2 linked regions of the Mus musculus genome follow. The protein of the gene in region 2 binds, or shares a complex with, the protein of the main gene of each other region. Links are inferred from orthologs where the notes say so. Each region holds a gene or a part of one and is shown on either strand. Other genes may lie near its edges.

Region 1 (4,391 bases), on a different chromosome or scaffold from region 2:
GCTTACATGTATCAAGTGGAGAAGAACTGACTAGGGTAGGGAATGTCTACAGAAAGTGGGGGTGGAGGGTGGGGTGGGAAATCCCAGGGTTGGGAGTCCATCCGGGGATAGGATAGTTTAAAAGGACTGGGGCCATCACCCAGTCTGTAGTATGCTGGCTGAGCATGCTCACAAAAGTCCAAGTTTGATCCCTGCACTAAATAAAGGAGGCACAGTAGCCCGCACAAGTCCTAAAAGAGGTAGAGGAAAGATTAGGAACTCAAGACCAAGTGAAACCTGAGGCAAAAGGTGGCTCTAAGAAGCCAGTGTTCATTCTCTCCTGGTCTGAAGACTGGGAAGGGTTTGAGGAAAGAGCATCTGAAATGGTCTTCCAAGCCCTGGCAACCCCTGCAGAACCTCAGTGTCTCAGCACAGTTCCTGCTGTCTGTAACTACCCATCCATCCCGGAGTGCTTTAATGCCAACTTCTTCTTGTTCTGTAAAGATCCAAAGTGCCACCTCACTCAGTGCACATCACACTGCAATAAAAAAAGTTTGCTGAATGAACAGAAAGAGGCAGGCTGTTTATTATTAGGAGGAAAGTAAGGAACCATGTGTGGAATTGACAGAAACACCAAGAGCACAAGGCCAGACTGAGGCTTCATCCACACGGTGGGACTCTCTTAATGTCAATGAGGTCTTTAACCTGGAGACTGACTAGATGTATGGACTGTTGACATAACTGTCCAGGCAACCATTTGCCTAATTAGAATGGTGGATAGGCATGAGCCTGGGGTCACTCTATTAAATCCTGAACACCCACAGTATACTAGGCCTTCTGCCATCTCTCAGCTTGGTGGGAGATAATTTCAGTGTGTTTATAGAGACACAAAGTATCAGGGAAGACCTGGTGGCATTGAAGCTGGGTTTTTTGCTTGTTTTCTTTCTCTTTTAAAAAGATTTATTTATTTATATGAGTACATTGTAGCTGTCTTCAGACACACCAGAAGAGGGCATCAGATTCTATTATAGATGGTTGTGAGCCACCATGCGGTTGCTGGGAATTGAACTCAGGACCTTTGGAAGAGCAGTCAGTGCTTTTAACCACTGAGCCATGTCTCCTGCCCATTTCTCTTGTTTTTTTTTTTTTTTTTTTTTTTTTTTTTTTTTTTTTTTTTCCTGAGACAGGGTTTTCCCTGTAAAATAGCTCTGGCTGTCCTAGAACTCAGAGGACTCCACACACCTCTGCTTTCCAAGTGAGGGATTAAAGGCATGTGCCACCACGCCCGGCTTTGGGCTGGTTCTTAAAGGATAAGTTAGCAATTCAGAGAGCTGGAGGAAGAAAGCACCTGACAAAGGGCACAGCCAGAAGAGCTGAGGAGCAGGAGGAAGAACATGAGACTGGAAGAATAACACCGCATGGTCTCCTAAGTCCTTACATACTATTTTTTGGTTTGTTTTTGGACAGGATCTCACTATGTAGCTCTGGCAGGCCTGGAACATGCAATTTATTTTACACTGGCCTTGAACTCACAGAGACTGTAGGTAGCGGCATGTGTTTTTAATTCCAGAATTTGGGACGAAGAGAAGAATTTGAGTTAGGGGCACATACTGAGACTGTCTCAAAAACGGAGAACCACTAAACACATACACACACACCTTTTGAACCAGGAAGAAGACGGGCTCTATGTTGCATTAGCAGCTGATGGACCCATCCTCCTTCCTGAAAAACCCGAGGTCTGTAAATCCATCAAGAGGGGTAGAAATGTTTATCTGCATAGCCTCCTTAACTCAAAGACTCGTCATCAACCTACCAACTAGGTTGGAGGAAACAAAAGTCATCCTAGGAATCCGCCTAACAGTGCTGGGTCAAGGACTTTCGTATGCGGAACACCAAGTGCTAACCAACAGAAACAGTCCTCGGGAGAGGCACCAATGATGATGCTGGGAAGGAGGGGGTTCTACAGCGGACTGGGGCCTTCTAACTGGATGTATGGCCTTGGGTGGATCACTTCCTCCTTTGTACCTCATGTTCTCTAGACTTAAGAGTAAAGGAGCTGAGAATTCTGGGTGAACCAAGTCTCTCTGTAGCTTTGTATTCTCAAGAGCCCTCCAACTCTTTCCTGCCTTGGGCACGTGCTTCGTGAATACCAGAGTAAATGACGCCTGATCTCTCAATTTACAGGAGTGGAAACTAGGGCCTGGCGGGTTTGGCAGCTCAGACATAAGAAGCCAGTCAGTGCTGGGAGACCTTAGAGCAACAGATTGGTCTGGATTCTTCTGGGTTGCTGCTTACAGGTAACAACAGGTAGTGAGTGGTCCTCAACGTGGCTAGAAATGACGGAAGAAAGGAAGCTCTTTCATAGCGGGTCCCGGTTTCGTGACCTGATGTGGGTTCCTGGATCGAGTAACCTGTCTTAATTTTCCGTTTGATAAGACGTGGACAGTAAGGGAACCCGACATATAAAAATGGCTACGTTAAGTTTAAAAGCGTGCCTAGTACACAGAAGGCGCTCACTAAATGCTCCTGCCAGATGCACTTCAGCACGCCCACTCTAGCCCAAGCGGTAATTTTTCGGGATAGCTAAAAAGCCTGGGCGGGATAGAACCACGTGGGGAGTGCTAGGAGCGACGGTGTCTAATTCCTAACAGTCCCCGATTCCCAGCCAGAGACAACGTGCTCCACACTGGCCAGGCCCACGTGAGGCCCTCCGAGGCCCGGGTTCGGGCTTCACCTTGACCTTGGACCGGCCTCGTTCCTCACGGAGCCTCTGCCTCTCTCGTCTGGAAACCGCCGCGTGAGGCCCACTAAAGGGCCCACAGCCGCTCGGTGGAGACCACTTGATCGCGTGTCTCTCGCAGGCCCGTCCCGGCCGGTCTCCATGGCAGCGCCCGACTCACCTTCCTGCCGGCAGTAGGACATGGTTGTTCCCGACAGTCCTCTGCAGCTCGCAGAGGCAGCGGGCGCGGCTGGAGCGGATACACCTTCTCGCCGTGACCTCCCTCGCCGCTTCTCAGGCCTGGCGGGTGGCACTGAGGCCCGCACAGACCCGCCCCCTCCAGGCCTGCCCGCCGCGCGCCTGCCTCCGCGCGTCCTAAGCACCAGAACCGCTTCTCAGTCGAAAACTACACTGACCAGCAGCCCTTGCGCCTCTCCAACTAGACCGATACTACATTTCCCAGAAATCTTGCAGCGCGCACGCGCACCAGTGAAATACAGTGGTTTGTAATTTTGTGGCGAACGTGTCAGACGTCGGACTACATTTCCCAGCAGCCCTTAAGATGCGCACGCGCAGACAACTTGAGGCTTAGGCAGGGCGGTAACTTTTGTCCTGCGTCCCGCCAGGTCCTGGATTCCACGAGAAGTCTTGCAGCTCTGTGGCAGACAGGAGGTCACCGTATTCTGCGTTCCGGTCGTCAGCCCAATTCCTAGCGGAATAGAGCAAGACGGCGGCAGCGAACCAAGCCCACCATGGCAGCGAACGTAAGTGCTTCCTGATGCCCGGGTGACACCATCATCCGGGCCGCTTTTTCCCTGGATCCGCGCTGGGTCTTACAGGGGTGCTACCCCAGTGGGTGCAGCTGCCCTCAGCTCTCTGAGCTTCTCCATCTCGGGCTGCGCGTTTGTGGGCCTCAGCAATTAGTCGAGTCCGCTCGTGCACGGCTGCTTCTTCCACTCCTAGTTTCTCTCTGGGCCCCTGGGGATACGAAACTTGGGGAACTTGGGGAACTGAAGGACCACGGGGAAAGTGTCTATTGGTGAGCAGACTGATGAGGTGATCCTGCCCAGGTGGAACTGTCCAGCAAATGCTTCTTTGGTCTTCGCTCCCTAGGGGGTGTGTACTCAAAGGCTGTGTGATGCTACTGTAGCTGGACTAGCCTGGCTGGATGACGTGGAGAGGGAGACTTTTCTCTGCTGCCGGGTTCCTGGTGCACTGATTTGGTTAGAGCCCCTAGCTGAGGATAGTTCACCCAGACCTCTGGCCTCTTCCTACTGCAACTAGTCCTTAAGAATTTTCCTAGTGAATCTTAACATTCATTCAACAAACGGAGCAACACCACCTACTAGGGGACTGGGTGTGGGAGAAGCCGGTGAGTCACCAGTGCCTCTGGTGAAAGCGCCTCTGAAGCCATCTCAGGAGCACTGCCAGCCCCAGGCACACCCTTACTCCCTCCTTGGTAGAGTGTCACTACAGCCCTCCTTGGGCCTGTTACACCCTCTTCCCAGGCCCCTCCTCAGTCCGGCAGACTTCACCTCCTGGGAGGCCGGAGTTTGTTTCACCCACTGTGCAAGCAATATCTGTTTGGCATATTGTCTGGCCCTGGCAGGGGAAGAGAACCAAAGGTTAGGAATGCTGCACTGGAGCCAGAGGAGAAGGCAACCAGCAGGCCAGCCTGGCAAGAGCAGGCAGA
Region 2 (4,429 bases):
CCATTTGGCACTACCCACAATCTAGGATTCTAGGCCACCAAGAGCTCAGTTTCTTCTTTAAAGATGCAAAGATTCAAGACAAGCTATTGGTGACCACCTTTAATCCCAGCACTGAGAAGGCAGATCCAGGCAGACCTCCATGAGGCCAACCTGCTCTATACAGTGAGTTCCAGGACAATCAGAGCAGCATAATAGATTCTGTCTCCAAAAAAAGATACTATGATTCCAAAGAAAGAAAAATGTAAGTATTTGAACCTTAGGTCAGGGAGTTAAGTGATCAGTTTGATCACAATAGGCAGCATAATGTTTGGTGAATAAATAAAATATTATAGAACACAAAATATTTATTATCAACCCCTTCTGCTGCCCAGTAATAGATGCAGGCACAGAGTTGTGATTGAGTTACCCTTAATCATTTCTAGAAAGAGGCAGAAAATCCAAATAAAGCCGAACAGCAGGTATTGAGGTTTCAAGACAAAAAGCCAGGTGTGATGGAAATGAGCTTTACAATGGTGAGAAACGTAGATGACGCCGTTCTAATGCAGGCTTCAAGGTTTACTAAAACAAGAAAAATAAAAGCAAAGAAGAAAGACTGCTAACAACCTGGCAAAGCATTGGGGGAGGGGATAAAAGAGGGCAAAGTGGTACATAGACCTTGTCTCTTACCCACCTCTGTGAAAACATAGGGCAGATGCTGTTATGTGAAACTGAAATCAGATTAAAGGCAACTGGCAAATGAGCCATAAAACATTCATTCCTACAATGACATTACCATCATTTCTTTTGGAAACTGTATTCCCTACCCCCCACTCATTTTTAAAGCAGGTGATGTCATCCGCTGGTACATGGACAAAGAAGTGTGTGCAAAAAGATGGATGGGTATTGCAGGAAGTCCTGGTATTTTCTACAGGAGAGGCCTTCAACCGCAGCCATGCAGTGGGGAAAAGGCATTTCAGTCCTGTATTTTTCCACAGATCTAATGTTATAATCAAATGAATATTTAATTGATGAGAACATTTGGTTAGCCACCAGAATTCTGGTAAAAAGCTATGTATTTAGCAAAATAAGTGCACAATATTAGAAAGGGTAGTATCTTTGGGTTGTCTAAATTTTTAAATATTTCTCCACAATTTACATAGAGCACCAGTGCTTCCAAGTACAGAACTCACACAAATTAGAATTATATTCACTGGGTTTTTAGGAAAACTAGAGGTGGCTTTTTTTCTAAAACAGAAATTCTTAAGTTCCAAGAGGTAACTGGGATAACATTGACTTTTTTGAGATGGGCAACTATATAGCCGTGACTGACTTAGAGATTCCTATGTACACTAGGATGGCCTTGAATTCTCTGAGATCTGCTGCCTCTGCCTCCAGAGTCCTAGGATTAAAGTCATATGTCACCATACCCAGCAGATAACACCCATTAAGAATTTTTTCTTGACATGTACGAAGTGGACAAACTATCCAAACACATTTGCAAAGGTCCTAACAATCAAAAAGTATTTCCACTTCTTATTCCTAAACTACAGAAAAGGCATCTGAACTTCAAAAAAGACTCCAGGGTAACATTTGATATTATAAATGTAATTACACTAGGATGATGATTTTTTAAAATGTTGATTTAAAAATACACCTTGGAGATTGTGGAGGGGGGGCATTCATTCCCACAAATCTGTATAGGTAGAAAAGATGATGACTCAAACCATGCTCAGATAAACCCATGGATATCAGAAGCACAATGGGCTAATTAGTGGAAAGAGAAGCGAATTCATTCTTAACTGTTTCAGGTCAAACTTTAGGAAGTAGGATTGGCGTGTAGCAATAGGATCAGGGGCCTAGAGACTAGCAGAGTAGCTTTAGCTCTACCTACTAATTATGTGACCTTCTGCAAGTAATTTCACCTCTTTGTTCCTCAATTTATTATCCATAAAATGAATGGGTTGGTGTTGACCACAAAATTCCTTCCAGCTCTAAAGTTTGATGAGACAACTTCCCAGAGAACAAATAGAGGGGGATCGAAAAACGTTCATTGAAGCGTGTAAGCCCACCACCAGGAATTCAACTATCTGGCCATCTCAAGGCAATCTGAGCTAATTCTCTTGATATCTGACATACAGTTTCTACTGGTGATACACCATTGCCACGTCGTAGGACAATCAAATGTACAGCTCTCACGTGGAGTTTTGGGAGGTAAAGCAGATAATCTGAGTTCCAGGAGAAACTTGTGACTGTGTCCCAACCACTAAATGACAACATCCATCTGACCTCAATGCTTTAAAAAAGGCAAGGTGGCAGAGGATGGGCAATATGGTCTGTTATAGCCAAGCGTTCTGTTATCCCCAAATCGCAAAGCCTCCCAGAAGAAGGCCTCATGCTGATTTCTGGGGTTCAAATCTCTTGAAGGTCAGGCCGGCATAAGTATGCCTATTCCTCAGCTTGGAAACTCTTGGGTTTATATCCCGCCAATTTGGAGATTCTTGAGACTGTGAAAGAAAGTTCTTTTTTTTTGAAGGACAGGGGAGCTCTGCGAGGGATGGGGAGCCCATGGCACCTAGGCCATTGGACTTTGAAGTAGGATAAGGGGTTGCCTGGGACAGGTCAGCTAGTCACCTGGAAGCCGGTTCCTCTGTTTCGGCCTCTGGACGTACACCGTCCGCACCAAGGGCACCAGTTTCTGCTTGAAAGCACCCGCCAGGCCTCCACACCGGAACATTTCGGCGATCACTCCTCGGAAGCTCCCGCTCCTTCCTTTTCCTTCCACGCACCGTCGAACGGGTCGAATACCACGGGCTCGGGTCCGCTCCCCCTCCCGTCACACGCACACTACGCAGGCTCCTCCTCCCAGCCCCGAGTGGACATTGGATAGAGGAACCGGCCCACTAGAGCCAGGGGGAAAGGCACTGAGGCTGGAGACCCACTGCGCAGGCGTAAGACTCAGCACCGCACTGCAATTGGTCCCACAGCGAGGAGGTCGGCGCATGCGTCCGGCGGCACGCGCGCTGCAAAGCCCCGGGCCCCGCCTCCGCATTTGCAAGTTTCCCAGAGTTAGCGGCCCTGTAGTAGGTTGAGCCGCTTAAGAAACCTGGACAAGGGACACTCCTGCCCGGAGGCAGCGGGTGGGGCAGCCGCTGTGTAGGTAATGGGGACTGCTAGCAAAACGGTCACCAAAACTGACCTGAGAACTTTACTTTCTGGTTTGTTTTTTGTTTTTTGTTTTTTTTTTTTTGTGCGTTTTAGGCAACTAGCTAGCCGGCATTTAAGCCTTTCTGAATCTCTTTCTGTGATCCAATTCTAGTCTTTCCCCCAGTCTTAGTCATTACACCCGACTTCCTGAATCCTGAATAAATTCCATCCATGTTTTAAAACTAACTGGCCATTTCTTGAGCAGCCCGGTTTGTTCGTTTGTTTGTTTTTGGTTTCTTTTTTTTTTTTCGGAGGTGGGGGGGAGGCGGGATGGAGTGGGACGTGTACTTCACGTGTTATATCTCCGTTATCACTGTCATATGTATCAAGTGTTGTGGATAGTCTCGCGCTATTATGGCTTTCGTGCTTGAGAAGAGAAAGCTGACAAAAAAGTTTGTGCCTGACAAATTTTCTGTGAAAGAAATTCTAAGCAGGACTTAGAAAGTTGTGGGAGATACAGAGTGAGAACTGAGAGAAAGTAGATATTTTGCTCTCCTGTGGGAGTTTTGAATTGCAGATTAAGTATTTATGGAAACTGTGTGTAGTGGCCTAACACCTGAACTCCCAGACACAGAGGCAGAGACAGAGACAGACGGACAGCAAGGAAATTTGAGGCCAGCCTTGTTCATATCAAGCCTGCCAAGGCTTCCTGGTGAAGATGCCCTGTCCCTTATTATGGAACAGTACTATATAGAGGCTTCTGTGGATATAAAAACATGGAAAGTGATCACTGTAATGGGATCTATTGTCATTTAGATGATACCTATCACAGAGCCACTGCAAGGAAGGAGTTTGGGACAGAGTCACTAGTGGAAGAGAAAGAATAGTATTTCAGAGGGTAAATGCATTGAGGCCAAAAGTAATATTTTTAGGGTTTAAACATATTGACCTCCATAAACATATTTCTCCTCCATAAGGACCTAGGTTTAATCCTGCCTCTGCTACTTGGACAAGTCACCCAGTTGGCTTCAACTGACCTGGAGACAGTTGGACTTAAGGATGAAAAGCTATAAGCCGGGCATGGTGACAATACCTTTAGTCCCAGCACTCGGGAGGCAGAGGCAGGTGGAATTCTGAGTTCGAGGCCAGCCTAGTCTACAAAGTGAGTTCCAGGACAGCCAGGGCTACACAGAGAAACCCTCTCGAAAAACAAACCAAAACAAACAAACAAACAAACAAGGATGAAAACCTACAGTTTCTCAGCGCATGGAACTAAATTAGGAATTAGAGACCAACCTGAGCAACA

What was found.
Region 1: the proteins of Aifm1 (region 2) and Chchd4 are in contact, whole or in part, in a cryo-EM structure (PDB 9GQZ), measured with the Homo sapiens proteins. The link is inferred for Mus musculus from reciprocal best matches to the Homo sapiens genes AIFM1 and CHCHD4. Residues at the interface, in NP_004199.1 of Homo sapiens: Pro345, Tyr347, Ser500, Ser501, Leu502, Pro503, Thr504, Val505, Gly506, Val507, Phe508, Ala509, Lys510, Glu558, Asp559, Tyr560, Asn602, Ala605, Lys606, Phe608, Asn609, Ile610, His611; in NP_001091972.1 of Homo sapiens: Arg5, Glu7, Lys9, Asp10, Arg11, Ile12, Ile13, Phe14, Val15, Thr16, Lys17, His20, Thr22, Pro23.

The regions. Positions count from the first base shown.
Region 1 is NC_000072.6:91,470,437-91,474,827, forward strand, and holds the start of Chchd4 (mitochondrial intermembrane space import and assembly protein 40), read right to left. Parts: upstream 2,988-4,391; 5' UTR 2,902-2,987; coding exon 2,880-2,901; intron 1-2,879. Other genes in the region: Tmem43 (transmembrane protein 43), read left to right, coding at 3,451-3,462.
Region 2 is NC_000086.7:48,510,626-48,515,054, forward strand, and holds the start of Aifm1 (apoptosis-inducing factor 1, mitochondrial isoform 1 precursor), read right to left. Parts: upstream 2,939-4,429; 5' UTR 2,714-2,938; coding exon 2,611-2,713; intron 1-2,610. UniProt on the Homo sapiens protein: Functions both as NADH oxidoreductase and as regulator of apoptosis.